Danio rerio: one gene and its partners. The protein of the gene in region 1 interacts with the protein of each later gene in a pairwise test. Links are inferred from orthologs where the notes say so. Each region holds a gene or a part of one and is shown in the gene's direction. Other genes may lie near its edges.

Evidence for each region.
Region 2: the proteins of trim55b (region 1) and usp13 interact in a two-hybrid assay, tested with the Homo sapiens proteins (2 studies listed by BioGRID and IntAct). The link is inferred for Danio rerio from reciprocal best matches to the Homo sapiens genes TRIM55 and USP13.
Region 3: the proteins of trim55b (region 1) and tcap interact in a two-hybrid assay, tested with the Homo sapiens proteins (2 studies listed by BioGRID and IntAct). The link is inferred for Danio rerio from reciprocal best matches to the Homo sapiens genes TRIM55 and TCAP.

Annotation. Positions count from the first base shown.
Region 1 is NC_133199.1:28,791,134-28,802,023, forward strand, and holds the start of trim55b (tripartite motif-containing protein 55b), read left to right. Parts: upstream 1-1,293; 5' UTR 1,294-1,507; coding exon 1,508-1,627; intron 1,628-2,349; coding exon 2,350-2,519; intron 2,520-4,963; coding exon 4,964-5,141; intron 5,142-8,773; coding exon 8,774-8,869; intron 8,870-9,879; coding exon 9,880-10,113; intron 10,114-10,890. UniProt on the Homo sapiens protein: E3 ubiquitin ligase that plays an important role in regulating cardiac development and contractility, muscle growth, metabolism, and fiber-type differentiation.
Region 2 is NC_133181.1:31,934,579-31,945,468, forward strand, and holds part of usp13 (ubiquitin carboxyl-terminal hydrolase 13), read left to right. Parts: intron 1-1,451; coding exon 1,452-1,636; intron 1,637-2,942; coding exon 2,943-3,037; intron 3,038-4,176; coding exon 4,177-4,367; intron 4,368-4,873; coding exon 4,874-4,945; intron 4,946-5,198; coding exon 5,199-5,292; intron 5,293-6,899; coding exon of another isoform or gene 6,900-6,902; coding exon 6,903-7,028; intron 7,029-10,890. UniProt on the Homo sapiens protein: Deubiquitinase that mediates deubiquitination of target proteins such as BECN1, MITF, SKP2 and USP10 and is involved in various processes such as autophagy, endoplasmic reticulum-associated degradation (ERAD), cell cycle progression or DNA damage response.
Region 3 is NC_133178.1:19,971,745-19,982,734, reverse strand, and holds tcap (telethonin), read left to right. Parts: upstream 1-5,891; 5' UTR 5,892-5,996; coding exon 5,997-6,145; intron 6,146-6,822; coding exon 6,823-7,213; 3' UTR 7,214-7,760; downstream 7,761-10,990. UniProt on the Homo sapiens protein: Muscle assembly regulating factor. Mediates the antiparallel assembly of titin (TTN) molecules at the sarcomeric Z-disk.

The DNA of each region.
Region 1 (10,890 bases):
CACTGAAAAAATTATTAATTGGATTTACTATTGTTATATGGGCTGAAATTAAACAAATGTAATTTGGTAAAGTTCAACTTGTTTGTTTAAATTTAGCACAATTAAACCTTATTGTTACTTTTAAAGTCAGAATTCTGATATTAAAAGTCAAACCTCTGTGGTATAAAGTCACAAAAACATTATATCTCAGAATTCTGATTTTATATCTCAATATAAGCTATTCCAGGAACTATGAACTATTCCAGGATATGTTCTTACACAGCGGATACCCTTTCAGACGCAACCCAGTACTGGGAAACACCCATACACACTCATTCCCACACACACTCACACTATGGCCAATTTAGATTATTCAACCCACCTAAATAGCACAGTCTTTGGATTGTGGGGGAAACTGGAGCACCTAGAGGAAACCCACATGAACATTTGGAGAACATGCAAACTCCACACACAAATGCAAACTGACCCAACCAAGACTTGAATCAGCGACCATCTTGCTGTGAAGTGACAGTGCTAACCACTGAGCCACAGTACCACCCTCATTTAAATGTTTTGTTTACATATTTTTTTTACAATTGAAATCTTTCGTACTTAATGCAAAAACATGATTTATGAAAACCACTAACATCTCCAGTTTTAGTAATATCTCAAAAAAATGGAGCTATCTGTTTTTGCGAATAATAATAACATGCATATATTTCTATATATCAGATTTTTATATTTTATATGTGAAAAAATCTTCTCTGTTAAAAAAACAATTGGGGGGGCGGGCGGTATATATGTGTGTGTGTATACATACATACATATATATATATATATATATATATATATATATATATATATATATATATATATATATATATATATATATATATATATATATAATCTTTACATTCAAGAAAAAAGTTAAATAAAATGATTTGATAATTATTTACTTTTTAGAACAGTTATTCTATACTGCAATAACATTTTACAATTTTTTTTCTATATTTTTAATTAAATATATGCAGAATAAGCTTATTTTACATTTAAAAGTCGTACTGACCCCAAACTTTTGACTGGTAGTGTTTGTTTATTTATTTATCTTTTTTTAACTTTTTTTTTATTATAATCCTTAGTCTTTTTTTTTTTTTTTTTTTGGTTGGCTATGCTGAACAATTTTGCATTGAGTATGCAAGATCATTTAATTTATTAAGTTAAATATTAAACGAGTTAATCTTGAATCTCTGCGAGTTTCTTGTGTTTATTGTGATTCGCATTGGGTCAACCAACGTTAGTTTCATATATGGGCAAGTAAACATGGCAACCTCTGACGTGCTGCTTTCTAAAAACAGAGCTGTCTGATAGTGGGCCTTGGCGTGCGGGAATGCCAGTCTCATTACAGAGGGTACAGACAAGCGCTTGGGCCTGATTTCACCCCGCGACAGAGGACTGGAACAATTTAATTTTCGCGAACCAAAACGGTCTCATTCTCAACTTCACTGGAGCCGTTGTTCGCCAGATCAGGATGGACAGCTTGGAGAAGCAACTTATTTGTCCCATTTGTCTGGAGATGTTCACGAAACCGGTTGTGATTCTTCCCTGTCAACACAATCTTTGCCGGAAATGTGCTAATGACATATTCCAGGTACAGTTATTACGATGTTTTTGGTTTGTCAACATGATTTATTACTGAACAAAAACTTCAGTCGTTGAATTTAAAATTGACGTAGACATAACTATATGCTAATTTTAATTACAGTCATGAAAAAAGCTGAAAAGTAAATAATAGGCTAAGCTAAAATAATGACAAATCAAAATTATAAGTCATAATTAATTTATTTATGATTATATATGTGTGTGTGTGTATATATATATATATAAATATATATATATATATATATATATATATATATATATATATATATATATATATATATATATAATTGTAGTGTAATTAATTGTAAATCATAACATAAAATTAAATATTATTAACTATATGATAATACCAGTTGTGATAAGGTAAATCACAAAGATAAAAAGTTAAAATTGCCATTAAAAGTAAATTAAGAGATCATTTATATTTACAAAAGGCAAAATTGTCACAAATATAAATATTAAGAGACATAAATTTATATAAAGTGAAACTGAGATAAAAGGCATAACTATGAGAAATAACACCAAAATAAGGCAAGACTATGTGATAAAAGTTAGTATATAAAGCCATAATATAGCTGAAATGAACATAAAACTAAATTACAATAATTAATAATTTATAATATTGGTTATCTTAAGACATGAGTAATTGTATAATATCTCCAGTAATACAATGATTATTATTTTGCTGTCCCATGCACACTACCTTTCTAGTCTTCAAATCCATACCTTCCAATCAGAGGAGGCTCGGTGACATCAGGGGGCCGTTTCAGGTGTCCATCCTGCAGACATGAAGTTGTGCTGGACCGTCATGGGGTTTACGGCCTGCAGAGAAACCTGTTGGTGGAAAACATCATTGACATGTACAAACAGGAGTACATCAGGTTAGATCTGGGAAAACGAATGCTTTGGGAATCTCTAATATTATGTCCATATGGTTTTACAAGATCCCTTGTGTTTAGTACCTAAAAATAAATAAATCACAAATGATTTAGACAGAGAAGGGAAAATCTAAAAGCTCCATATGGTGACCATTCGCAAATGCAGCAAAGATTCGTGAAGCAGTTTTGTCTGACTACAGTGAAAAACTTCAGTTGTGTCCCAAACTATGTAGTATAAACTAGATTAGACCATTCACTCTATTTATTTATACAATAGACTGGTCACCAACTTGTCATCACTGTTCAAAAAATGAGATCCATTTAATTTGACATATAAAGTCAAAATGTATAGCTAAAAATGCAAGATGTCCTCACTGCAGCCCGCAGCTTAATGACATAGGCGATCGTCAACTACGAAGCAGATCTTGTACTGCCCACTAAGGTTGCGCCCATGCTACTGTGGTGGTTGGGTTTAGGGTAGGGGAGGTGTAGGCGATCATCCACTATGTAGCGGACCTTGTACCGCCCACTAATGTAACACTCATGCTACTATAACAGTTGGGTTTAGGGTAGGGGAGGTTTATGGGATCGTCAACTACGTGAAGAACCTTGTACCACCCACTAAGGTACTGCCCATGCTACTGTGGCGGTTGGGTTTAGGGTAGGGAGAGGTATAGACCAGTGGTTCTCAAACTGTGGTACGTGTACCACTAGTGGTACGCGGGCTTCCTTCTAGTGGTACACGGAGGAATGAAATATGTCATGTACATGCTACATATAATTCAAAATTTATTAAAAATGATGTATATAATATGCCATATATTATATATAGGCTATATTTCCGAGGTAATCTGCCAGGTTTTTTTAACTGTGCAGAGTTGTAGCTGCTTTACTGGGCCAACTACGCTACTGTATTTCAATGCTGCTCATTTTGGTGGTACTTGGAGAGACAGTTTTTTTCTAAGGTGGTACTTGATGAAAAAAGTTTGAGAACCACTGGTGTAGACGATCGTCAATTACGTAGCGAACCTGGTCAATTACATCATTTTTATTGAGATGAAAAAATAAGTAGCCCAATTTAATACATTAGGAATAAATATTATAGACAAATTTATAAGAATAGCGTTGGTGCCAATAGACTAGTGGTTAAGTGTGCCAACATATAGCATCCTGGTGCTCATGGCGACCCAAGTTCGATTCCCGGCTCGAGATCCTTTGTCGAACCTTCCCAGCTCTCTGCTCCCAATGATTTCTTGCCTGTAACCTCCACTGTCCTAAATAAAAGATGAAATAAAGAGGAAAATATAAAATCTTCTAGTTTTTTATATATATATATTTTAAATATTTTACATGAATTTTACATGAATTTAAATATATTATCTTTTTATTTTAAAGATGGTCAGTGACTAAATATTATTTTAATATCTGTTTAATAAATCTGTTTTGCTAAATGGACCAAAATATATTAGCTATATTCCCTTGAGAAATTAATTTAAAAAAAAATATTTTTTTCAAATCATTTATGCTGAGCATATGTGTGTGTGTGTGTGTGTGTGTGTGTGTGTGTGTGTGTGTGTGTGTGTAATTGTGACATTTGAAGATAAAAAAAAAGATAAAAAATAGATCAAACCTATATCATTTACATAATAAGTCAACCTAAATAGTTTAAATGGTGACATCAAAAGTCAAATTTAAGAGCTAAAGCCATAATAAATTTAAATAATAAATATTTACATAAAAGATATGACAAAAAGTAAAAATTGTAATGAATTAGGATAATTTGGATGAATTATGAGTATTTATTATACTTTTTTGCTAGAATTATGATTTACCAAAGGATCATTTTAATTTATTAAATTTTTTTTGTGGTTAAATTTACCTTCAATATACACCTATTTCAGTGGAATAATCCTCCAGCCATTCAGTAAAGTTCATGAAGAAACTTTTTTTTTTCAAAAAAAAGAAAAGAAAGAAAAGTCTCATAATGAGAACAGACAGGCTTTTAAGATTGAAATTCCCCAAGGTTGAACGATTAAACTCTCCACCGCCCCGCCACTTTGCATCCCACTTCAGCGTTTCACTTTATAAACTCAAAACAGCTTGTTTTGGCTGGGAGGTTTATCTTTTAAAGCAGCCGATGTTATTGTACTGCAATAGACAGATGTCCATGTGACTCGAGACCTGTGACTCAGATGGGTCAGAAGGCTAAGGATGACGGTCAGCTGGCAGCAGACTTATTTTTAGTTCCACTAGTCAGAGTTGAGTCTCATAGACACACTGACACACATCATAGACCCTCAATACGGCCCTGTGAACTCTATAGTTTTTTGATTAACCGTTGATCTGGAGTCCTGTCCACATTTGAACCAAAGTCGAGGGCTTCGAAAAGTACTGATCTGTTTTGTCATACTCAGTGTTTGATACTCATAGATCTGTTTTTTACACAGCAGCAGACCTTCTCCTGAGAGAAAGGTTGACCAGCCGATGTGTGAGGTTCATGAGGATGAGAAAATCAACATATACTGCCTGACCTGTGGCGTCCCCACTTGTTCTATGTGTAAAGTGTTCGGCGCCCATAAGGACTGTCAAGTGGCCCCTCTTGACAGTATTTACCAGACGCAAAAGGTAAAAACTGTAGCTTTTTGATGCATATTGCTTTTTTACATATTAGATTTTCTTATCATATAGAAATCTGACACATAGAAATATATGCAAATTATAACCAGTACATGACACAAGTTCATATTTGGATTTATATTTCATAAATTTGCAATATATAAATTTTAAAATATTGCAATAATGTCCATTTACATATTTATTTTTCAACCATATGAATTTAGAATAACAATATGTACATATATTTTGAAAAAGAATTAATATAATATGAGATATATATATATATATATATATATATATATATATATATATATATATATATATATATGTATGTATGTATGTATGTGTATGTATATAATAATAATGTACTTTAATAATAATATAAAATTAATATAATTAAATATCTAATAATTATTTATTCATTATAGCTCATATATTTGAACAAATTTACATATATGTAATTCCAAGGATTGAAAAATATATATATATATATGAAAATGACCATTTTTACAATATTTAAATTTTTTGTCATTTATGTAATTTGCATATATTAACATATATACAATTTCTATGTGGGTTTAAAGTGTAATATAGCTATAGTTTTGTGCATGTAAACAAGTTACACTCATTCGGACCACGCAAAAAATGAAACACATTTTTTTATGATCACATTCTACATAGTTAAACGTTTAAAGAATAAGTACAAACTAATAAGATCTTGCTGGATGAGGGCTGACTTTCCATTAATTTTTTTGGTGAATTGTAATTGTAAATTGAGATGTGATCAATCCAATCAAAGCCTGTTTCTACTGTAAAACAGAGCCTGATTGGTCCTAAACCCACCTTACCTACATGAGATCTATTTTCTATTGGTTGAACTTCCTAAAGATTTTAAATGATGTTGAAAACCACACAATCACAATGTGATTGGATCAAAGATGTTCGATTGCTTTAGTAAAGTAAACATGAAACAACAGCACAGGAAACAACAGCGTTGTTTTTATGTATTTTTTGATGTACTGAGGAATGTTTTATGTAAATCTGACCCTGCAACACAGTCTTAAGTTACACTGGTTTACTTATTACTAGGTATTAGCCAAAAATACACTGTATGGGTCAAAATTAACGATTTATCTTTTATGCCAAAAACCAATAGAATATTAAGTCAAAATCATGTTCCATGAAGACATTTAGTAAATTTCCTATTATAAGTCTATCAAAACTTTTAGTAGTCTTACACTACTTGACAAACGTCTTGAAGCTTATCCAAGTTTTAGGAACAACAAATAATAACTTGTAGTTGATATTGGGTATCAGAGGTGGCTTAAATGAAAGGCAAAGGCCTCTAAATTACGCTTATTTTACCAAAACTCCCATGAGCTTGAAGGACTGCATCCATACATCTTTACAATGACTCCAATAACTTATTAACAAAGACATCTGGAAAGGCAAAGAAAGCGTTCCTGCAGGACTCAAAGTTCATCAAGATTCTTTGGATTCATCTTCAATGCCTCCTCCTTCATCTTACCCCAGACATGCTCAGTAATGTTCATGTCTGGTGACTGGGCTGGCCAATCCTGGAACACCTTGACCTTCTTTGATTTCAGGAACTTTGATGTGGAAGTATGCAAAGGAGCGCCATGTTGCTGGAGAATTTGCCCTCTCCTGTGGTTTGTAATGTAATGGGCAGCACAAATGTCTTGATACCTCAGGTTGTTGATGTTGCCATCCACTCTGCAGATCTCTTACACGCTTCCATATTGAATGTAACCCCAAATCATGATTTTTTCTTCACCAAACTTGACTGATTTCTGCAAGAATCTTGGGTCCATGCAGGTTCCATTAGGTCTTCTGCAGTATTTGAGATGATTGGGATGCAGTTTAACAGATGATTCATCTGAAAAATCTACCTTCTGCCACTTTTCCAAATGATCAACTTCAAGTCAAGTTAATATTTGTTGCTCTTACAACTGGGATCGACGACAAGACTTTTGTCAGGTAGTGTAGATTAGTAGTAATATGCATTGTCAAGCACTTCATTTAGACAATTTTCTCATTATTTAGACCAGGGGTCACCAACCTTTTTAAAATTGAGAGTTACTTCTTGGGTACTGATTAATGTAAAGGGCTACCAGATTGATACACACTTGTCAAATAACAAATTTGCTCAATTTACTTTTAATTATAGATTATTATCAATAATTAATAATATTCATCTATGTGAAGACACTGATTATGTAAATGATTTCTCACAATAGTTGTCAACAATGATTTAACAAGCTAGGAAACAGAAATATCTATATGCAACACTTTGTTTCTATAAATCTCTAAAGTATTTACATATTCAAATGATCACTTCTACAATATTTTCACTAGCCACTAACATTTTGTAACAAACCATGCACTACAATGTACCATGTTCGTACAGATTATCAATTGTGTAACAGAAATCAACTTTCAGATTTTACTGAAATTATCACCAAATCTACAGCATTTTTAACATAGTCGACACTCTTCTAACCATTGTTGTTGCCCCAAATTGGACATCGGAGAGAGTGGAGGCTATATTTATTAGTCTTTAAGCACAGTTTTGCTTTCCTGTCTGAAAATGCCTTGTTTTTCTAATCAAAAATGTGTAGCTCTAAATGAGACTTCAGTTGCTTTTTGGGGGGGTTTCACCATTCTTGTGAAAAAAAGACTGCTGTTTTCACAAACCTTCCAGCCTTTTTCCATTTGTAGTGCGCTGCCCGGTGGGCAGTTAGCATGGTAATGTTAGCTTGCGTGACACTTTCTGAAATGTCTTTCAATATTGTGTGCTTTGCCATCACTAAATTAATTACAAAAAGAACTCTTCCTCCTATATTCACTTTGAAAATTATGTTTTTTTTCTGTTTTTTTTTTTTGCCATGTTTTCAAATCCTCTCCTCCCCTTTACTGCACCGTTGCTGTGGATGCTAATATGAAATATTTTTAAGTTTTTTTTTTTTATTTCATTTTCAAATTTACACAATGCAATTGTGATTTAAAAAGAATAGCTACAAAAATATTAGGTGGCACTTACTGGTAAGTGGCACTGTGGTGAGCTATTTTTAGAACAGTCCCTAACAGGGCACTATGTTGGTGACCCCTTATTTAGATTTTTTGGACCCTCAGATTCAAGGTTTACACATAGTTATACCTCAAATATGGTACAAATATATCCTAACAAAGTATGGAATGCTTAATAATAAAGCTGTCAGATAGTGTATAAATCTCAATTCAATAAAAGAATTACAGTTATGACTGATGTTCTTGTCAACAGTCACAAATGTGTTTCTATCATAAGTCATGTGCATGTTCAGACACAGAGAGTTGCAAAGCAAATGCTTTTTAAACAATAAATAATGCGAAGCTGATAAAGATATACAGTGCAATTAAAAATTGCATACTAAGTAGGTATTATCTCGAATGGCTAGTATGAATAAAATTTGTCACATGACCTATACAGGTTGCGTCACTTGATGTAAATAAGGCGTAATTGGGCCCTTTATTTTTGTGTGCATAAGTATGGCAGAATTTGCGTCAGCATGCATGCGCTTGTCGGCGCAGCATATATTTTTACAGTTGTGTGTTAATATGCTTACGCACGTCCTCATCTCCAGACAGAGCTCTCGGATGGAATAGCAATGATGGTGGGCAATAATGACAGAATCCAAGGCATCATCAGTCAACTGGAGGAGACCTGCAGAACCATAGAGGTTAGTCACCCTGTGTGGGGGCTTCTCCCTCCCCAAAGCCTGGCAGAACAACAGGATTATTGATGAGGAACGTAACAACGCTTCCTCTGACAAAAGATCCACACGCTCTGGCATCAATGAGCCAGGCAGGCAGGAAGCTGGACTCTCTCCAGACCTCACAGTTGCGTTCGCAGAGGATCCATGATTGACAAGCAAGCAGAAATGAGCCGTCTCTGTTGAGCATATGGCTCCTCTGACGGAAAGTCATTGTGCGCAAGGTTAAGGGTTAGATGCGGTCGAAGAAAAGGAACAGGTAGTCAAACTATTGATTTAGACAAGTTCTAAAGATCAATCTTAAACTTTTGGCAGTCCATAGTCAATCAGTTACACATTTTAAAACATTGCACGTGCAGATTAAGTGGCTTTCTCCTGCATCATTTTATGCTCAGATTATAATAAAAGGAAGATTATATGCTATAAACACTCGAGGGTTTAGGATTGGTTGGAGATTTTGTAATAGTTGGGAGTTTTTAAGGGTTCTAACGCACATCATTTGATGCAAAACACACACACACACACACACACACACACACACACACACACACACACACACACACACACACACACACACACACACACACACACACACATATATATATATAGTTAATATGTTATTACATAGTTATTATTGTAATATTATTGCATTTTAAAATAACCATATTCTATTTTCATATATGCTGCAATGTAATTTGTTCATGTGATGGCAGGTTATTCTCTTTAAATATTTTGCATTATTATTGAAAACAGATGCTACATAATATTTTGTCAAAATGATGAATAGATGAACAGAGGGGATCAAAAGAATATATTTGTAAACAAATTACATAATAACCTAAATTATTATCATCCATTTTTTAAAGAAAATACACCTTATACCTTTTTATAGTAATGTATATAAATATCTAACTGTACATTTATGAATGTGACTGAATTGCATTTTATACTAAATTCATATTTAAACATATTTCCAGGAAAATGGCCGACGACAGAAATCCAAGGTGTGTGAAAGGTTTGACCACTTGTACTCAATTCTTGAGGAAAGGAAGAGAGAGATGAACCTGAAAGTAAGTTCCGAACAGGAAGAGAAGCTGAACTACATACGTGGCCTCACAAAGAAGTATGGAGATTATTTGGAGTTCATGACCAAAATCATGGAGACAGGAATACAGACACTGGAAGAACCAGAGATGGCTGTTTTCTTACAGGTCCGGTAAACCTACAATAGGTTATAGAAACAGGGTTACCACAATAATATTAATAATAATTATAATAATAATAAGTGACGATTATTAGCCCTTCTGTACTTTTTTCTCTCTCACATATTTCCCAAATTATGTTTAACAGCGCAAGAAAATTTTCACTGTATTTCCTATAATATTTTTCTTTGGGAGAAAGCCTTATTTGCTTTATTTTGGCTAGAATAAAAGCATTTTTTAATAATAATAATAAAAAACTTTTAAGGTAATTTTAAGGTAAATATTATAGGCCCCCTTTAGCTATATTTTTTGAATGTCTACAGATCAAACCACTGTTATACAATAATTTTCCTAATTACTCTAACTTGCATAATTAACCTAGAGAAACTCTTTAAGCTGAATACTAGTATTTTGAAAAATATCTAGTAAAATATTTTTTATTGTCAACAGGGCAAAGGTAAAAAGAAATCAGTTGTTGAAAATGAGTTTTTAAAATTATTATAGTCAGAAATGTGTTGAAAAAAACCTTTCCATTAAACAGAAATTTAGAAAAAGTTGATATTTTATGATAGATCATATATAAATGCTGTTTAGGGGAAAACATGCTAAAATGTTATATTATGTTATAAATACGCTATAAAGCATATATGTTGAACTCCATTAATTCAAAATGCTGGCACAGAAGTCCATTTAACAAAATCATGAAAACTGATTCATAAAAATGTGTGGGAACCCTGAAAAAATTTTAAATATAATCTCATACTTTTTATGTTATCCTCTCATAAA
Region 2 (10,890 bases), on another chromosome or scaffold:
GACTCTTAAAGGGAATGAGAGATGAGACTCTGATTGGTTTATTCTCAAAACACACCCATACCTCATTAAGAAAATAAGCCAAACCCTGTTAGACCATGCGCTGAAGCATAGAGCGTATTTTTCTTTCCTTAAAATAGCAAAAGTGGATTCAGACATGCCCTTAATGCTTTTGCATTATGTGCTTGAGACTTTGCACCTAGATCGTTAAGTTCCTATATAAATCAAATTTGATCAAATAAATAATTTTTATTCGACTCAGATATTAGCTGATTTAATACACTCTTTTCTCTCAGGACAAAATAAAAACCTTGAACTTGTCATAGCATTTATATACTGCAGCTCTCTGTTTATAAGGAGTGCTTTTTTATTCTCATGTGTAAGTTGCTTTGGATAAAAGCATCTACTCAATGAGTAAAGCACTATAGCACTTATTCATTGTTGCTCTTATAGTTGTGTAAATTGCTTCCTTGTCCTCATTTGTAAGTCGCTTTGGATAAAAGCGTCTGCTAAATGACTAAATGTAAATGTAAATGTAAAGGTAAATAGTGGATGCTAATATTGTCAAAATTGTAAAGCTTTTTTCAGTGTCTCATACACATACAGATACAGATGCCAATATCTAAAGAGCAGAGTGTGTAATATAATGATATATAAAAATATTACTGATTAATAAGGCTTATGGATCAGTTAGCAAGATTTGTTAAATAAACACTTGGGTAACACTTTATAATAATGACACTTTATGCATCATTTGTTAAGCATTAGCGAATAGTTAATTAACCATTTATAAAGCATTAATAATAGACATTAGTAAGCAGTTCATTACTACAGCTACAAATGCTGTGTTCTTGACTTAACATCACATGCATAATACTAAGTTAAGTATTGCATTATTTACAAAGCGGTTATTTATTTAGTGTTTTATAAGATAATTTAGAATGAGTAAGTAAATGATTAATAAACTATTGAAATTAACATTTATATATTTTATTTTTCCAACCATAAATTATTAGTTACTTACGTATGTAGGTTAATAAATACTTTATTAACACAACTTTATTAATGCAGCAGTTTTGTGACCTAATCTAAAGTGAGGACTATTCATGCTTTAGAAATATATATATATTTTTGTAAAAAAATCTCATGTTAATGTTTTAATATAATATTTTAACTTTTTTTCATTTACAGCAATCACATTTTTTGCAATAGTTAATAAAAAAGTAAAGGAGATTACATTTTTTAATTATCAAAAAAATAGCAGCCAGTTGATTGGTCTAGCCAATTTATTTGTTGATGTGTTGAGTTAATCAGACATTGTCTGCACGAACGGAATGCAGCATGTAGTCTGTGGATTATAGAGTAACAAAGCCTCACCTGCATCACCTGAACTGCAATACGAGCAGTTTCTGTCCTGTCTCACCATGTCTTCAATATGCTTTATGTCCTATTAGCGGATGGAAGTGTGCCAAGTGTGAAATGAGAGAGAACCTGTGGCTAAACCTGACGGATGGCTCTGTCCTCTGTGGGAAATGGTTCTTTGATGGGAGCGGAGGGAACGGACATGCCCTTGAGCACTACAGAGAAAGCAACTTCCCCCTGGCAGTTAAACTCAACACAATCACCCCAGATGGAGCAGGTAACTGTCTCTTCATGTCTGGTTTGTCTTTTTGGAAATATGTTGACCTACATATATAACACGCACACATATACTCACCGGCCACTTTATTAGGCACACCTTACTAGTACCAGGTTGGATCCCCTTTTGCTTTTAGAACTGCCTTAATATTTTGTGGCATAGATTCAACAGGGTACTGGAAATAATCCTATAGGATTTTGGTCCATATTGACATGATAGCATCACGCAGTTGCTGCAGATTTGTTGGCTGCACATCCATGATGTGAATCTTTTGTTCCACCAAAGGTGCACTAGTAGATTGAGATTTGGTGACTGTGGAGGCCATTTGGGTACAGTGAACTCATTGTCATTTTCAAGAAACCAGTCTTGAAATGCTTCATACTTTATGACACGGCATTTAATCCTTTTGGAAGTAGCCATCAGAAGATGGGCACAATGTTTTCATAAAGCGATGGACTTGGTTTGCAACAATACTCAGGTAGGCTGTGGCGTTGACACGATGCTCAGTTGGTAGTAATGGGCACAAAGTGTGCCAAGAAAATATCCCCCATACCATTACACCACTACCACCAGCCTGAACTGTTGATACAAGGCAGTTTGAAATTCTGACCCTACCATCCAAATGTCGCAGTAGAAATCGAGACTCATCAGACCAGGCAAAATTTTTCCAATCTTCTGTTGACCAATTTTGGTGAGCCTTAGCAAATTGTAGCCTTAGTTTCCTGTTCTTATCTGACAGGAGTGGCACTCGGTGTGGTCTCCTGCTGCTGTAGCCCATCCGCCTTAAGGTTTGACATGTTGTGCTTTTCAGAGATGATTTTCTGCATACCTCGGGAGTGGTTATTTGAGTTACTGTTGCCTTTCTATCAGCTGGAGCTAGTCTGGCCATACTCCTCTGACCTCTGGCATCAACAAGGCGTTTGCGCCCACAGAACTGTCGCTCACTGGATATTTTCTCTTTTTCGGATCATTCTCTGTAAACCCTAAAGAAGGTTGTGCGTGAAGATCTCAGTAGATCAGCAGTTTCTGAAATACTCATCTGGCACCAACAACCATGCCACATTCAAAGTCTCTTAAATCCCTTTTCTGCTCCATTCTGATGCTCAGTTTGAATCACCTTGACCGTGTCTACATGCCTAAATGCATTGAATTGCTGCCATGTGATTGGCTTATTAGACATTTACATTAACAAGCAGTTGGACCTAATAAAGTGGCTGGTGAGTGTATATTAAAAATTAGCAAAAACTGCTAATTCTTTCATCATTTACTCACCTTTTGTTTGTTTCTGTTTTTTTTTTTTTTGCAGATATTTATTCCTTTGATGAAGAAGAAGCAGTACTTGATCCTCACATATCTGAACATTTATTACATTTCGGAATTGATATGCTACAAATGCAAAGGGTATGTTTTATTTTTTTATTTACAAATTGTTCAAAATCAAATGATATTTAAAACTATCTAACTATGTAAAGATACGTAAAGAGTATTAATCACAATTTTTAAAAGTTCTTAAATGTAAATTTTTATTTTAATAACTGGTTATTCTTTTGATCATTCCTTTGCGTAATTGCTTAACTGGATAATAATCCAAGTGGTATTAATTATTAACATTTACACATTTTTTTAAAAACAGTTCATTAAAAGTTCATTTTTAAAATGTTGATCCACAGTCTGTTTACTGTTATCTTTAATACAGTGAAACCTGAAGGCTAAGACTACAAATATGTCAAATGTAACTATGCTATGGTATATATTATGTGTAGAGTTGGGTAGATTACACCTGATTACAAGTACTTTCATTTTAAAATCTTATTACATAATCCGGAATGCATATAATCTGTTACTATCCAGCACTGATTATGAAGCTCTGATAAAATATGAACATAAGCCAGTAAAGTATACTTGCAATGTACTGTTTCCTTTTTTAAAATGATTGTGAACATTTTTACAGACAATCTCACATTTTCACTGAATCACAGGATTTTTATTAACATAGCTCATATTGACATGAGCAGAGTGTATGAGAATGTACAAAATGATATTACAAATTTATAGTTCAGTTATTAACTAGGCACTATTTCAGTAAAAGAGGTTGTGTCAGTTATATTATGTGTGTATTATTTATACACATGTTTTGCAATTAATAAAAAATGGAACTATAATCTAACAAAACAACTTAAGATTAAGGTCCAAAAATTAGTACACCCAGTTAAATAATTTGGGAAAAAATCTTAAATAAAAAATGTATAAACAGAAGAAAAATAACATAAAAATATTACATTTAGTTGTAGTTTGTAAATTTTCATTTGCTTATTCCTAAAGATGACCAAACAATTTTTAATAGAAATAACTGTTTGATAAAATTGATTTATTTAAATGCACCAAAATTACTGACTAAGTATAATAAATTAATACAAATTATACATATTCAAAAATGCATGTTCTCATTTATGCTCAGCAGGTGTGTGTAGTGATAAAGCAAAATCAAGCTACGTTCTCTGTTTTCAACCTTTTGGATTGTTCTTGTGCTTACCTTCCAGACAGAGAATGGCCATCATACAGACAACCACGTTCAACCGCGTATCAGTGACTGGGAAGTGATTCAGGAGGCAGGTCTAAAGTTAAAGCCTGTCTATGGTTCAGGATATACAGGCATCAAAAACCTGGGCAACAGCTGCTACCTGAGCACCACTATGCAAGTGCTTTTCAGTATTCCAGAGTTCCAGAGAGCGTGAGTACATTCAAGCTTCCTACATACTCCTACCATTGTGTTAAGTTTCATTTATGACAAAACCTGCTTTACTACAGTTTGATTTGTGTGTGTGTGTGTGTGTGTGTGTGTGTGTGTGTGCATGTTTGTGTGAAATATCGGGAGACAAATTTGTATAATAAAAAGTTTATGACACTGATAGACAAGGAGAAAGTGACTTATGAGGACATTACCCATGTCTATATTTTTCAATAGGCTTATAAATCATAAACAATGATATTTTTATTTTATTTGAGAAAGTAAAAATGCTCACAGTTTGCTGTGAGGGTTGGGTTTAGGGATAGGGTGATGGAAAATACAGTTCGTACAGAATAAAAATAATGTAAACAGACAGAATGTCCTCACAATTTACAAAAACAAGCATGTGTGTGTGCCAGACTCTAAACCATATTCAATCTATGGTTTTTACACAATGAATTTAGTATGGATGTGCCTTTCTCGACAATATGTTATTGCATTTATTGTAGGTATGCTGGGAACCTACAGAGAATATTTGACTACTCACCCCTCGATCCAACTCAGGATTTCAACACACAGATGTAGGTGTTTTTGTCATGTAATTTTTATTGTCATTTTACATTTATTTATTTATTTATTTATATTTTTTATTTTTAAAACTTCAATTTTTTTAAATTTCGCCTATAGTACTGTATAACATATTGCAATATTATGCCAAACTTTATTACCAGTAATATAAGTTTGATTGATAATATTTTGAAATGTTAACAGCATTTGATATCTATCTTAAGTTTGCGTGATTCATACATGGCATCTAAATTGGTTATTTTCAAGGGCAAAACTTGGGCATGGACTTCTCTCAGGCCAATACTCTAAACCTCCAATGAAATCAGAACTTATTGAACAGGTGATGAAAGAAGAACACAAGGTATTTGACTTGGTCTGTCTTGTTGATATTTGGCTTAATTAAGTTGGCTCGTCTGTGGTTACAATTACAAGATTAGCAGTTGCAGCCTTTGGCATGTTTTTTTTTTTTTTTTTTTGCATTTTTACACATATGACAGTCAGACAATCTTAAGGCCAATTTACACCAGGAATGGGCCGGTATGAGGTTTTGACAGTATGATAACCTTGGATAAAAATATCACGGTTTCACAGTACTGTAATTTCTGCTCAAAAATATATTATTTTAAGTGTCTGGGTAAAAAAATCCTACTTTTTTTCCACGTTGAACACAATATATTTTATTTTGAGAATCATTTAAGATATTTTGGAACAGTAAACATTTCTGGCTAAATAATTCAATTGAATCATTGACTTCTGCTGCTTTTTTTTTTCACAATTTAAAACAACGCCATCTTTGGATTTGTTTTCTGCTGGAGATACTGTTCTACTTAAGCACGGGTGTCAAACTCAGTTCCAAAAGGGCCGCAGCTCTGCACAGTTTAGTTCCAACCCTAATTAAACAAACCTGAGCAAACTAATTAAGTCCTTCAGGCTTGTTTGAAACCTACAGGTAAATGTGTTGGAGCAGGGTTGGAACTAAACTGTGCAGGGCTTCGGCCCTCCAGGAATTGAGTTTGACACCCCTGTACTAAAGATACTGTCCTAAAAAAACTAGAAAAAAAATGGAAATAAAAAATCTTACAAATACCTTGGGAACGGTATGGCAGAAAACTTTTTTTAACCGTAGTATACTTTGAAAACGGTTATTTACACTGCACCCAATAGCAACAGACAAGTGTTTTCACTGATTCAACTGGTTCTTACTGGGTTGTGTTTATGGTGTTTATGGTGTCTGACAGTTCAGTGTAAATTTGCTTTTATGGTTCTTGCATACGGACAATTATTTGAATTAACCTGGATGCCAATCATTAGGAATTTGAAGTGAAAACAGCATACAATAAAGTTGAGTAACGTTTATGGATGTTATGCAAACAAGCAATAACACAATGTGGCACCTACCTATGAAAGCTTTGTACTGCTGGAGATTAAAAAAAAAGCTTTACTCATAAGCTTACATCACACAATTTTCAGTTTATATATCATAGCTGTGAGACATAGGCTAATTGCTAAAAAGCCAAGGCATTTTTTTCCCATGCAATTCTGCATTGAGATATATATGAAGAAAAGAAAGTTCTGTTCTGATTTTATAGTTTGTGGATTTATTTTATAGAATTGTCTGCTTATATGGAATTTGTGTGTTTCTTACAAGTTTGAGTTTATATCTTAAAGTTAAAATTGTTGTAAGTTTATAATTAAACCACAAATTAAAAATTCTGAGGAAAAATCAGGATCGAGAGACCATGTTCACTCACAATTACATATTATGTTTTTGTATCTTGCATTGACTTTTTATTTTATCTTCATGCTGTATTTAAAAACAAAAGTTAGAGTTTTTCCTAAAGTTAGAGTTTTAAGAGTGGCCGTTTAAGAGTGTTTAAGTATGCCACTCAACAGATTTAGTGATGCCATTTTACAGTGCAATTGGTGACCCTGAGCCTAGATGTATCATGTTGTTTTCTTCTTCTGCAGCAGCAGCAGCAAAGGGGGATTTCACCTAAGATGTTCAAAGCGCTGGTCAGTAAAGGACATCCAGAGTTCTCCTCAAATCGACAACAAGATGCCCATGAATTCCTCTTGCACTTAATTAACCTGGTTGAGGTACGAATGCGCTTCTTTTGTTAAAATACAATGTTTTCTTGACCATCGTGATTATTTTGCATTTTTTAAAAATAATTTACCTGAGAAATGAAAAATCCTTCATATTCACCCACATGCCGCTCCAAACCCGTATGATTGTGTGTTAAAAGAGCAGCTTGAACATTTTTTGGTAAACAATTTCTTCTTTTGCTTGTCTCTTTTTGGAGAGACGTTTTCAGAGGGTTTCTAGGGTTTGGTTGGAATTTCCCCAGACATGTTTGTGGACTTTGAGTCTTGTCAGCAGGCTCTGGTTTCAGGAGACACATTCGACTGCACTCTGCTGGCAGACACACACTTGAAGTGACTTTCTCAACTGAGCTAAAATTAGACCCCCCATATCAGTTACACAGGACAGATAATGCTTCCTGTTACCCTCTGACTTGGTCTGTGGCCAGAATGAAAGCCATTGCTTGACACTTTTCCATGCCTGAAAAACAAACAACAGCAGAAGCTATGCCCTTAAACTGTTATATTCTAAGCTATAGTGTTGAAGTTTTCGAGAAACCCAATTCTCAGCATATTTACTGAATGTACACACTGATTAGATTGTTCAAAATGACTGCTGTATGGCAGGTGCTTGGAGAGGAGGGGAGGGGATGGAAAATATAAGTGCTTGATGACATCAGCTCAATAGTAAAGTTTTCTAGGATGTAAGCAACATAGATGATTGTGGATGAAACAGAGTTTAGTAGAAATTATTTTCATACCGAATTTTGGGATTGATAAGTTTTTAAGGTTTCCAAAAGAATTCGTTTTTGATTATTTGTTTCATATTGTGAAAGATTATTATTGTTTTAAAATGCAGTTTATTTTTGTGATATCAAAGCTTAATTTTCAGCATTCGAAAGAAAACAATTCTCTAATTATCAATCTAATGATCTAATAGTGAATCTGATGATTTAGCCCTATATGTTTTTCAGGATTATTTGATGATTAAACGGTCTTCCCCTTGTTAAGTCGTGACATATCGGTGACGGATGGAGTACCAAGCCGTTACTTATTTGAAGTGAGAAAATATTCGTCTATGGCCACTTTTTAGTCCTATCACACATTGCAGTGAATTTTCTATAAAATCATGGTGTACACAACAGTCTCTGGACTTGCTGCATCACAAATACCAAAATTTTAACAATTAAAAAACAATAATTAATCACTTTCTGGCCATCGGATATTAGGCATGAATTTATACATTGTGATCTTGATTTTCGAAAGTATTACATCGCTTTGTAAATGTTTATTATTACCATTTGGTGGGTCTCCCCATACAGTTTGATGTTGCGCTTGGACCCAAAAGTCATTTCGCGTGACGTCACACTTAACAAGCGGATACTTTTTCTGAAGGGGTGTTCATAAGACTATCATGACACCTTTAAAATATGATGTGATAGGTCATGAATGTGAAGCAGATTCTTTGTATGCATGCAACTGTCATTAAGGGTGCTTTTACACTAGCACTTTTGGTCTGCACCCAGGTTCGTTTGACGTCAGAGAACTCGGGTGCATACCCATGAACTGTACCTGAGTCCACCTGAAAGAGGTGGGCTGAAGTACGGTTCATGTAAACTCTAGTCTGGTTTATTTCTGGTATGAATGCAATCGTACCAAATAACAGAAGTGAACCGCCGACAGTGCAACAAACAAATTGTTTTCATAACGTTCGTTTGTGTGTGTGTATGTGTTTGTCTATGTATCACATAATGTACTTTGGTGCCAAGCAGGATAATGTCTGCTTGTCTCCTCCATTAACAGCTTCTGCGGACATCGCGTTATGTTCTGAACATTTATAAAATTTTTGTGCCGGATGGACGCGAGTCACTTTCTGTATGTCCAAAACCAAAAGATACAGTAAAAGCAGAACGACTGCGATGTGTGGAGGTCTTTCCATTTTGGCGCTTTGCTTTTGTGGTTGTCACCTAGCAACAGCTGTACACACAACAGCAGCTCCATGACGCAAACGTACCGGGGTTCAGAAGTAAAAAAACAGTGTGAACACAAACCAGCCGAGAAGGTGGTAAGAGGCGACGATCGAACTTGGGTTTGGACCAGGCAATTGAACCAAGTGTGAAAGCATCCTATTCGCTCAGTTGTCATTTTATATGCAAGGGTGACATTGTTTGAGGTGCTTTGTTATGACACCGTGGCAAATCAAAATACATCACAACCTGTCTTTGTCAAGACAGTTTTGGTGTTTTGATATTATCAAAACACCAAAACTTATCATAAATCTGTCATAAACATAATTGTCATGAGGCCATTATAATTGTGTCATGAATATTTTTCTGATTACTTTTTTCAGAGAAAAAGAATATGTCATCGTTTAAAATTTCTCAGTAAAAGTGTCAATACTAATTTTAGAACAGTGCCATTAATATTTAATTACATTTTAATGCCAAATTCAATTTTTACCACTGTAGTTGAGGTCAACAAAAACTTTAATAACTCTGTTGTAAAATTCATGACTTAATTATAATGGTCTCATGACAGTCAAGTTTATGACAGATTAATACCATTATTTAAGATATAACATGATTCATGTTTTCTTGGTAATGTTGAATTGTGATGAAAAAGACAAAGGCAGGTTATGATGTATTTGTCTATGTCAAGTTATTAAAAAAGCATGTAAAACAATGCACTTAAAATAACTTATGATTATGATATTGATTATAAAGGTTTCATAACAGTCTTATGAACACTTCCATCAAAATAAAGTTTTACCAAATAGGCAATAAATTATTATTATTTTTTAAATATGAATCATTTGTAAACATTTAATTCCTAAAAATATAACTTTTGATCAGTTTAATACATCCTTGCTGAATAAGTGTACTAATTAAAAAAATATTTTATTGACCTAATTAAAAAAAAAAATAGTGATGTGATAATACATCATTCATTACCATTGTAGCTGGATATAGTGTTAGAACAGACACTAGAGACCAAAATTTCAAAGACACAATTGACACTTTTAAGCAAGCACACAGGAATCATTTTTAATAGAACAAACCATTGAAAAAAGACAAAAGAAGAAAAAGTTTCAGTTTAAATTTTTTTTTACTGGTTATACAGAGCTTGACATGTTTATATTTTGTTTTGATGCGATACTACGAATCAAACCCTAATCTTTGGTGACATTTGCTTTGTTCTTGAAAGTACACATAAACTAAGAAGGTCAACTACATAAAACCAAGACAGAGCTATAGTCTCCTGAAATGTTTAGTGCTCAGAAATGTCGACTGGTTTATTTGTAGCAGTGCCTTCTGTGAAATAGCATCAGTCGTGTGAACAGTGAAGGGACCTTACAGTGCATTTCTGCATCCTCAGCAGGTTTGTTCTCTGCTCAGTGGTCTCTGGTGTCTCAGTCTTGGTATATTAAGGCTGGTATATTTCTGTATGAACCCAAAATAGCAAAACTGCTGTTCAATGACCTCGATGATCTTAATTAAATGCCAACTCTGTGTTGTACCTAAATATGTTTAAATGTTAATATATTGTTGAATTAGTTTTGCTATTTGTTTTTGTAGAACTGTTATCTATATGACCGTTATTCCGTTTTTGTATCTTTTTTTTTGCTTATAGCCATTGCAAAACCTGCATTACCGTCTTTGTTCTGAATGTAAGGGAAAATTATGAAGAATTTTGATAATCAAACAGTTTCAGTCTTCAGTGAAAGTGCAACTATACAACTGTATGGTTAGTTAAAATCATTCTTAAAAAGATCTTCAATTAAAAGTTTAATTAAAAGTTCACTTAAAGAAAGAAAGTCAGGTTTGAAACAACATTAGTGTAAGTTGTGACCCAATTTTATTTTATGTGGAAAATTTTG
Region 3 (10,990 bases), on another chromosome or scaffold:
AACGTTAGGAAAAACATTCTCTAATAAAAGTAATTACTCTTATATATGCAAAACAATAATATTATTAATTGAATGTGGTAAAAAATGTCACTTGGATCATTTGAAAAACAAATTGAAAATGCAAGTAAAATAATTAAACACTCACGTATGTTTTAAAATTAAATGGGCCTAAAGTAATCAAATATACGGTTTAAATATTTATAATGTATGAGTTATGATTTTGTCCTTGAGGAAATTGAAATGCAATGTACCTAAAATTACTTACACATTATAGACATATAGATCTAACTACACTCAATGGCCACTTTATAAGGTAGACATGTCTCTAAGGAATCTCTTAGGAATATTTGAATGACCACTTTGTTGAATCTATGCCACAAAGGATTAAGGCAGATCTAAATGCAAAATAGGGTCCAACTTGGTACTAGTAAGGTGTAACTAAAAAAGTGTAAATAAATAAATGCAACGGTTTATTTATTTTTTTATAAACGCTTTTGCAAAACTCTTCACACAGTGAGCACAACAGAAGTCTTTGTGAGCTAAACTAAGGATCAATTATCATTGTTTTGGCACAAAATGCATTCAATGACTACATCTCTCAAACTCTTTTTTTCTCACTCAGACACGACAACTGCCAAAAATCTTTGTACATACAGGACGTTTTGTCCGTGCTTACATACTGTTTTCCAAATTGTTAAACTTATGTTCAAAACAGTAACTTGCAGTTTTTCTTCATTGCTTTGATGCAGTCGTCAACTGAATCTCCACGTTTTCAAAACAGTAAACACACAAGCCTAAACAGCGGCACTCATGGTCAAAATGACACATTTGCTTGCAAAACGCACATACCGTGTCAAAACATTTAAAATATGCAACAAAAGCTAGTTTTACCTTCAAACAACACAACTTTCAAACAAGTATATGAGCTCTTTCAATCAACCATACCACAATGGAATACAAAATACAGAACTCAGTGTGCATCATTGCTTGCCATTGTAGACTATTGCCAATGCCGTTTATTGTCTTTCTATTTGGGCTGTCAAATTTGCCTTTTTGCAAAGAATTGGATCCAGAATAAGACATGCTTTGATTACTGTAAATATTAGAGAAAACATGTGTAAACCAATAAACAGTCAAATCTATTAGCCACTTTTGACCTCCTCCATCTATGCTAGCACTGAAGAACACAGACCTTCCACCGTTTTCGATGTTTGCAGACTGATTGCTAATTAAAGATTTGTGTGATGGAGTGTCAAACCGGTGCTTCAGTGAATTCATACTGATCTTGGTAGTTTCTAATTGTTAGGAATAAATGGTTTCTGTTTGGTTACCATAGCTAAAACAATGGAGTTTGGACTAATTGAATGACATCAGTGTTAACTGTTTTGAAAAACGGTGGGGAAAATGTGTCAACCCAATGAGAAAGGGTTTACATATTTGCAAGACCTGTCTTCTGCTCTGCTGGGATAGTGATGAGGAGAATAAAGTGGAACCTATAGTTTCTTTAACCAGGTCAAAGCAAACAAGAAAAACTGTAATGCAAATCTGAATAAGACAGCAAAATTCAATAGCAATATTTTATTGAAACATATTACAAATCTAAAAATGCAGTTTAACCAGCCTGAGCTGATTGTCATTGTAGATGAACATCTACACAGGTGTTACTTCCAATTTCTTTACAAATGGAGACAACTGCTGAATAGGTTTGCATTGTGATGTAAACATGGACCCAGCCAGAAATAGAGAAGTGGCTGAAAGAGAAACAAAGATGGCTGGGATGGAGCAGGCATGCCAGAAGATTCTTTCCTATACTGTAGGTGTATTGCCCTAGAAGACATAAGATGTGATGTGGATGAAAACCTGTGGCCAAATGGAGAAGATTGAGTTGATTAGCAATTGTTGAAATATTCAATAAATTCCATGGGTGTTCAATAAAAAAAGGTCAGGAGAGGGTTTTCTTCAATGTCAAAAATCATAATTTATTGGATTCAAATGAATGTTTCGATTCACAGAATTTTGTTATCCTCAATGCAATGCAAAAGTTGCATTACGGAGATGTGCAACAACTTTCATTTCCTGACTTCAACTTATATAGGCAGCTGATATTAACAGGTGGAGTTTAGTGAAATTCGTCATTCATTGTCCAGTGCGCCATTGGTCACACCCCAGACACGAGTCCTATTTTTGTATGAATTTTCTGCACAACAATAAAAACACAAGATTTTCTGTGTACTGTGTTCAGTTTAACATCTTTCTTTAGACAGAAGAGCAGCATGTATCTACTTCTGCAAAAATGCTAATTAGTATGCACAGCATCTCACACACAGCAGTAGAAGTTCAGTTAATATATGACCCTTAAATGACCGAAACAATTATTCGTTTAATTTGTTTGATGAAAAGAAAAAGAGACAAAAACAAAATAATACATTCCTTTTTCCTAACACATTGCTATTGTATCTGTATCAGTGGATGATGAATGATGTGTATACAAATTCTTGTATTTTGGAATTACTTAAAATTAAGAATAAATAAATAAATGACACAAAATACTGACAAATTCTGCATCTTGTCTGATTCATTCCAATAACATATTGCAGTTTTAAACAATATATATTGCTATTATAAACAGAGATTGTTTTACACAAGAAAACAATGTAATGCCACAAGTTGTTAGTGTTTTTATGTGTCCTAGTGTCTTTAAAAAAAGCTATAACTTTTATAATACATTGATATGCATATTTACATCTTGCATAAGCATCCAAAAAACCTGTGAACTTCATATGCTTGGCCATAAACAAATGTAGCGCATACTGTATGTCATGAGTGATCTACAGGAACGGCTTCATTACTGGAGTGATGTGACGTGGTTTCCTGGCTTTCATGCTTGTGTTCATGACTGGCATTACATTTCCATACCATAGTGTGCTGAGTGGCCAGATTGCATAGAGGGGGACTGTAGAAGAGTGAGGTCAGTTCCTGTAAAGTCCCAGTGCGTCACTGACAGAGCAGTCAATGACAGACAGGGGACAGAATGTGTGTGTAACATGAGAATCTTGACCGTCCACATCCTCTGTCCACACAGCGCTATATTCATCTGATGAGTGTACACAGAGCCAGAACTCACTGAACACATGCTCTGGCCATGCTTTTTAATATTAACTCTATGTTTGAAGTACAGAAAAACACATTGATTTAACTATTATTGACATTATTATTGATAATAATAGTATGTGGCCAGTGGAAGGTTGTTACAACTTTCCAGCTATACTATGTTACTAATAAATGCAGCAGACTTTTATATTTAAGCAATGTTTCTGTAAGAGATTACCAGTATAAAAGAAGATTACCAGCAGGGAACAACTGCCGCCACATGTTTATAATCTCATGTCTGTTTCCAGATCTGAACACTGCTTAGTTTCCATTGAGAGACTTATGATGTCTGTTAGCAAGGTCATTGGAGAAACAACTGTCACAATAATACACAATGCCGTAGAGATTTTGATGGAGAGACAGAACAAGAACAGATAGAAAGACAGACAGAGCGATCGTTAGATAGTGCTGATAAATACATAGATAAATCTGGCATCTTTTCACCATAAGATCATATTGATACTTATAGCCAGCAATTCATTATTTCATCTAATACCAATATAGTGGAATATCTATCATTATAGAAATGTAATGTGCTTAAATTGCAGAACCAACAAATTCAACCATATATAACATGAATATTAAATTGAACTGGAAAAGAATTGCAGAATCTATCATCAACAAAAAAGCACTTTATTTTTTATTCAATAATATAAAAAAGTAAATCATGTTTGGTCTCACTTTGTAAATACAATCCATTAGTTGATATTCCATTTATTAAGCCATAGTTTAATACAGTTTATACATTTTTTACAGTCACTTTGGTCCATTTCTCAGATCAGAATTGAAATTCTGTTCAATCTTCACATCAGTGTGGTACTTCTGCAAATCGAAAAAGCAGAATCTCATTCCTTTGATCAAATTGCAAATGCTTGCATACATCCATGTAAAATGATTATGTGCAATTCTCTGATAAAAATTATTGTCATTATGTAATTTATAATATTAATGTATTATTTTGATCTCTGTTTTGACCCCATCACATTAAATCGTTTGTTCATGGCATAAGTCTTTACATGCAAAATGGCTAAACACGTTTTAATTTGACTATTTTTTTTCCTAAATCTGTTTACAATTGATAAGTTTCTCCCAGGTGATCTTGACTTTTTCTAATGAAGGTGCTTCTCAGAGGAGATTGTCCAGTGTACACATTTCTACTTTTGTTTTTTCTTTGTGCTGTTATTTCCAGCCTGATCTAACGAGAAAAGTATTTTATGTTTTGTCAGTTTAGTCGTACGAAATTGTATGATTTGAAAAAGGAGGCGTGGCACTTAACCCCACCCCTTAACCCAACCGTCATTGGGAGATGGGCAAATCGTACTAAATTGTTCGAATAAGATCATACGAATTCATACGAATTAGCCACTAAATGAAAAAGTTACGAATTGCCGTGAGATTGTGTTGGTTTTTTCATCACAATGACATGATCTGACAACAAATTACGGTACAAACAGCAAAAAAAGCATCAGAAAAACCCTTTACAGGTCACATCAAAAGACCCCTTCAGAATACACTATTATATTGACAGCATGGCTAAGTAATTTGACTGTCATATCCGTACACAATGACACAACATGTTCATTGACATAGAAACTTCGTTTTAAGAGATGAACTAAGGTTTTTGAGCAAAAGACTGGGTTTTGCAGATAATCCATGGTGTTCTGCTATTTGTATGTGTTGGTTTTGAGAAATGCACTTACTGTTCTGCAAAATTTCAATACTGATCTGAGAAATGTACCAAAGCGACTGAGAAAAACTGTATTGGCATAATCACTATATGGTGGTATTGATAACAAAGCTGGATGGGTGGGTGGGTTTTACAGCTTAATTTAAAAATGTAAACTTATTGTAGTTTTATTATCCATGGTTTCATGGTGATATCTATGAAGACAGGTGAAAAGACACATTCTCTGAAATTATATAGAGAGAGACAGACAGGTAGGTATGTAAGAAGATGGATGAATGGATGGATGGATGGATGGATGGATAGATAGATAGATAGATAGATAGATAGATAGATAGATAGATAGATAGATAGATAGATAGATAGATAGATAGATAGATAGATAGACAGAATGATAGATAGATAGATAGACAGAATGATAGATAGATAGATAGATAGATAGATAGATAGATAGATAGATAGATAGATAGATAGATAGATAGATAGATAGATAGATAGATAGATAGATAGATAGATAGATAGATAGATAGATAGATAGATAGATAGATAGATAGATAGATAGATAGACAGAATGATAGATAGATAGATAGATAGATAGATAGATAGATAGATAGATAGATAGATAGATAGATAGATAGATAGATAGATAGATAGATAGATAGATAGATAGATAGATAGATAGATAGATAGGCAGGCAGGCAGGCAGGCAGGCAGGCAGACAGACAGACAGACAGACAGACAGATAGAAAGATAGATAGATAGATAGATAGATAGATAGATAGATAGATAGATAGATAGATAGATAGATAGATAGATAGATAGATAGATAGATAGATAGATAGATAGATAGAATGTGTCATGGAAATATGAGTGGTTGGGGATTTCTCAGGTCTTATATCCCTATCCCAGCGCTGTGTTAGAGAGTGTGTGTATGAATGTTTGGATATGTGGGTGTGTGAGTGTCAGATGACATATGTGTAGACAGTGTGTACAGGGTGATTCCATCAGACAGAAATAGCTGCAGAGTTGTATAAAAGCCTGAGACACACACTCCAGCGGACAGAGCAAAAGGAGTCCCTCGCTCACACTCAACCAGGACAAGAGACAGAAAAAAAGCACTGAATATACCAACTTGTAAATCAGGAAAAATCTGAAGCTGAAGATGCAGGTTTGCTCAGTCCTGGAGAAGAAAGGAGGCTGTGTGGTTGGAGCCGAGCTCAGCTGCAGCGTCAGGGAGGAAAACCCAAATAAGAGAGAGAGTTACACCGCTGACTGGCGCAGCATCAATATGAAGACACAACCTGAGGATCGGTGAGAAAATCATATTTTTGTTGTGATTTCTAATAAGTAATCATGTAGTTATTTGTATTATACTACTTAAATATTAAATATTATTTGCTTTTTAAAGCATGTGTTTCACAAAAAGGCTGTGCTAATGAAAAATATGTATATTAATGATTTAAACAAGATCAAGCAAATTAACAGAAATCAATAAAAAGATTAGGAACAAGTTAAATTTATTATTAATCCTATGCAGTTTTTCCTCACCAGTAGGCTACATTTATCATTTAAAGGTATAGTTGACTCTAAAATGAAAATGTTTTCATAATTTTCTCACCCTCAAGTGGTTATAAACCTTAATGAATTGCTTTCTTTTGTTGAACAAAAAAGAAGATAATTTGAAGAAAGCTGAAAACCTGTAACCATCGACTTCCATTGTAGGAAATATACATCCTATGGAAGTAAATGGTTTTCAGCATACCTCAAAATAAATTTGTGTCTAACAGATGAAAGCAATTCATAAAGAAACTCAAACAGAAACAAGTTAATAAAACCAGAATTTTCTGTGAAATATCCATGCATCTTTAGACATTTTTAAAACAACTTAGATCATTTATATTTAGTGCATCTTAAATTAATATTAAACACATAAAAAAATATCAAATCTTCCCTCTCATTTATAATTCTCCATGTTTCTCTCTCTCCAGCCAGTCGATGCTGATGTCAGACGATTCTCGGCGAGAGTCTCTATCCCGTTATTGGCAGGTGCGTCCTCTCCATCAGGCCTGTCCGTCGGGTGTGCGCAGAGTGGGCACTGTGGATACGGGTGTAAGAGAGCACCAGCTCTTGCCCTACAGGAACAGCCTGCCCCTTCCCATCTTCAAGCCTGCAGAACTGGGCGTCCGCCTGGGTCGTGGAGCTCCACACACCCTGGAGGATCTGCCACCTGTCCGCATCCCTGACGGAGTTTGTCCAGACAAGAGAGCAGTGGAACAGATCACCAGAGACCTGCCGCCTGTCAAACCCATGCGGATGGAGTTCGCCAAGGCACCCAGAGCTCTGGGACGATCAATGTCTCAGGAGGCCCAGAGAGGCTGAAAAGCAGGAAGACAAATATGAGTCAAAGACTTTATGGACGTTATTAAATAATGAGGCAATCAGAGGGAGAGAATCAGAGGGATTAAGAATGTAGAAACTGATTTTAGGAAAAGTAAAACAGCAAGTTTAGTGAGTGAAATAATGATAACAATCATAATGAAATAATATGCAAATGATGAAATGTTCATAAAGGCTGGGAAGAAAGAAAGATGATGATGATGATGATGATGATGACCTCGATGACAAGCCTAAAGGTTTTGTTTGGTGGGTTTTGAGTTGTAAATAGGATCTGCTTGTTTTGTATTGTCAATGTTCGAAGCACTTTTAATTGTAAGGACACAGGTTCATTTTCTGAGCTTGTGTTGATGTTTTTTTCTGCATGTCGTCAGGGTTGTTCATGCAAAAAGATAATTAAGCAAAAGAGAAAATTATTTATTTTTGTTAAAACTTAACGCCAAATAAGAATTGCACTATTTATTGACTGTTGATAATTGTTGACTTGTTGAAAGCTGATAATTACTTTAATAAAAGTTTTATCGGATCAGACCTGTTTTGTGTTTCATTACAAGAGAGAAAGAAAGAAACTTGTTTAAACAACAAAGCACAAACCCCGCCCACAAACAATTCTTGACATTTCATTGGTCATTTAAGTTTGTTTATTACAAAGCACTGAACAAATAATAACCTCAAACCTAAAGTTATTAATAGATTAATTAGTTAATTACATATTTTAGATATATAATAGATAGATATATGTATATATAGATATATTTATATTTATAATAGATAATATAATATTTATAATATGTATATATAGATATATTTATAATAGATAATATTATATTTATAATATGTATATATAGATATATTTATAATTAATAATATTATATTTATAATATGTATATATAGATATATTTATAATAGATAAAATTATATTTATAATATGTATATATAGATATATTTATATTTATAATAGATAATAATATATTTATAATATGTATATATTGATATATTTATATTTATAATAGATAATATTTTATTTATAATATGTATATATATATTTATATTTAAAATAGATAATATTATATTTATAATATGTATATATTGATATATTTATATTTATAATAGATAATAATATATTTATAATATGTATATATAGATATATTTATATTTATAATAGATAATATTTTATTTATAATATGTATATATTGATATATTTATATTTATAATATATATATTTCTTGTGTTTGGAGGAAAAATGCATGTGTGGAGTGGATTTTTTTTACATCAATTATTCAGATTGGCATGGATGAATATGATCATTTGAGGAACATGTTAACAATGTGAAAATATATCTGAACAATTTACACTATGCAGAAAACCATTCAAATGGGGGAAATAGTATTTAAGAATCTTAAAGCAAATTTCAACCCTCAATTCACTGGTCAGTATGCCATAGTTGAGAGGATTGATTCGGAAAGCAGTATGTCCTGGTGCAAGATTTTGAAACCAAAGATAAGCAATAGAGTCTGGGGTTGTGCTGAGGGGTACAGTGCTGAATTGATTTACATCATACATCTCTGACAGGAAGTTTTTTGTCAAGATTGGTAACTTTTCCTCGTCTATGGCACCGTTAACGTGTGGTCTTCCGCAAGGCTTGATTTTAGCACCTTCTCTCTTCTCTCTATATAGGTTTTATTTTCAAGAAATATGGCCTGTATTTGTATCTTTATGCGGACGATACACAGATTTATCTGTCAGTCAAAAAGGAAAATGACTCCTCTGTTGTGAACTCCCTGTCACTGCACCTGGAGGAGGTAAAGGCATGGCTTTCTGAGAATTTTTTATTTTTAAATGAGGAGAAAACAGAGGTTATTGTTGTTTGTAAACGCCCCAGGTTTGGCAAAATGGAGGAGTTTAAATCACCCCAAGTACATATCCTGGGCGTTGCATTAGATCAGAACTTAAAATTTAATAAACATGTTTCAAGTGTGGTTGGAAATAGCTTTTATCAACTTCAACTTATTTCTAAAATTCAATGAAATGAATAAAGTCTTCCCTCACTTCACGTTCTTGAGAAATTGTCATACATTCTTTTAGAACCTCCCGGTTAGACTATTGCAACTCTTTCTATTTTGGGCTGCCTCAGATCGATCACCTATAGTGCAAAATGTAGCAGCTAGATTTTTAACAAAAAGCCTGAAATATGCATGCCACTCCCATTTTAAGGACTCTCCTTTGGCTACCGGTGAGACAAAGAGTCAAATTTAAAATCCTTCTCTTTATCCTAACACTTGCTTGTTCCGCTGATCAGTTTCTATTAAAAGTCCCAAAGGTCCACTTTAAAAGCATTCGCTATAGCCAGTTCTTGGCTTTGGAATTAAAAATGTCTTCATTAATGCAAATTTTTAAGTCTAAATTAAAGACTTGTCTATTTTCTAGGTCGTTTCAAACATAAGTCCCTTCTACGGGGGGCCTGCGGCCTCGTTTTTAATCTTGTTTAGTGTGGTCAACTGTGGTGGCATCTTTTAACTAGGTGGGATTATTTAAAGGGTCAAATACTTTCTTGTTTTAGGCATTGAAACCAAACTGTTTTTGTATAATCTATTTTACATATTTTATGCTCTCTTTTACATTATGTGCCTATTTACTGTTTTGTTTACTCTGTACTGCTTGTTGTTCTTGTGGCCGTTTGGAAACATGCTATAGAAATAAATTGGACTTGAACTAATATTTGGTAGGGGGAATTAAGATTTTTTATATATATATATTTCAAGTAGTTAATAAAAAGTATTTAGTCAGTAACTTAGGCAGTAAGTTGTGCTGCAGAGACTTGATAGTATGGAGAAAACATTGCGACAGAAATCTGAAAACCCTCTGTTTCAAACTGAATGACTGGATTTTAGGATAAATGGAAAGAACGTTGAAAGAAACTACAATATTTTGTAAGTTCTTTTAAAAGAATAATAAGAAAAACTTCTTCCGAACCTCCATACAGGAATGATGTTGTTATATTGTTCAGCTTTTACAGTAATAATATTCAAAGTGTTAGAATAGAATACATTAGAATACAATTTTCACATTTCAGATCTCTGTAGCATCTTGTCAGCTGTATATTTTCTTCTACTGATGCAACTTTCTCTATAAACTTGAATGTCAGTGGGGAGAAAAAAACAAAAATGAGAAAGAGATTTTATGAAAGTTTAAGTTTTTTCATCTAAGTAACATGTAGAAAGAGTCCGTTTTAGTTATTAATTTAGAACATGAAAAGCTTCTTGAGAGTTTTTTTTGTTTGTTTGTTTTTTGGACACAATATAGACATAACTTCATTCCTGAATTAATTGAGTTCTTATAATCCTGCTGTCCATGTGTTTTAGAATATTGTTAGCAGTCTCAGGGGAACGTGTTGTGGGATGTGAAAGGCAGGATTGGATGGAATGGAATGTAAAGAGGCAGTCCAGCAGTGGTCAGAACAGACAGTCCTTTGGCATCACAACTGCTCTCATTAGCTTGTTCTTTAAAGCAATGCTTAAAATACTTTGGGTTATAGCTTTCTGGTCATTTTTAATTTTCACAGTAATAATTTACCTTTGATTGTATTGTAAAATTAATAATATACTATCTTGTAAATAACATACAGTTTTAGAGTGCATTTAAAATGTATTTTTCTGCTTGTGAAAACAACAACAATAAGGCTCATATAATAAAAAGTAAATAAGGAAGTTCAGACTGTTGATTAAAAAAAACAATCAAATCTATACAAAGTCACATTAAGCA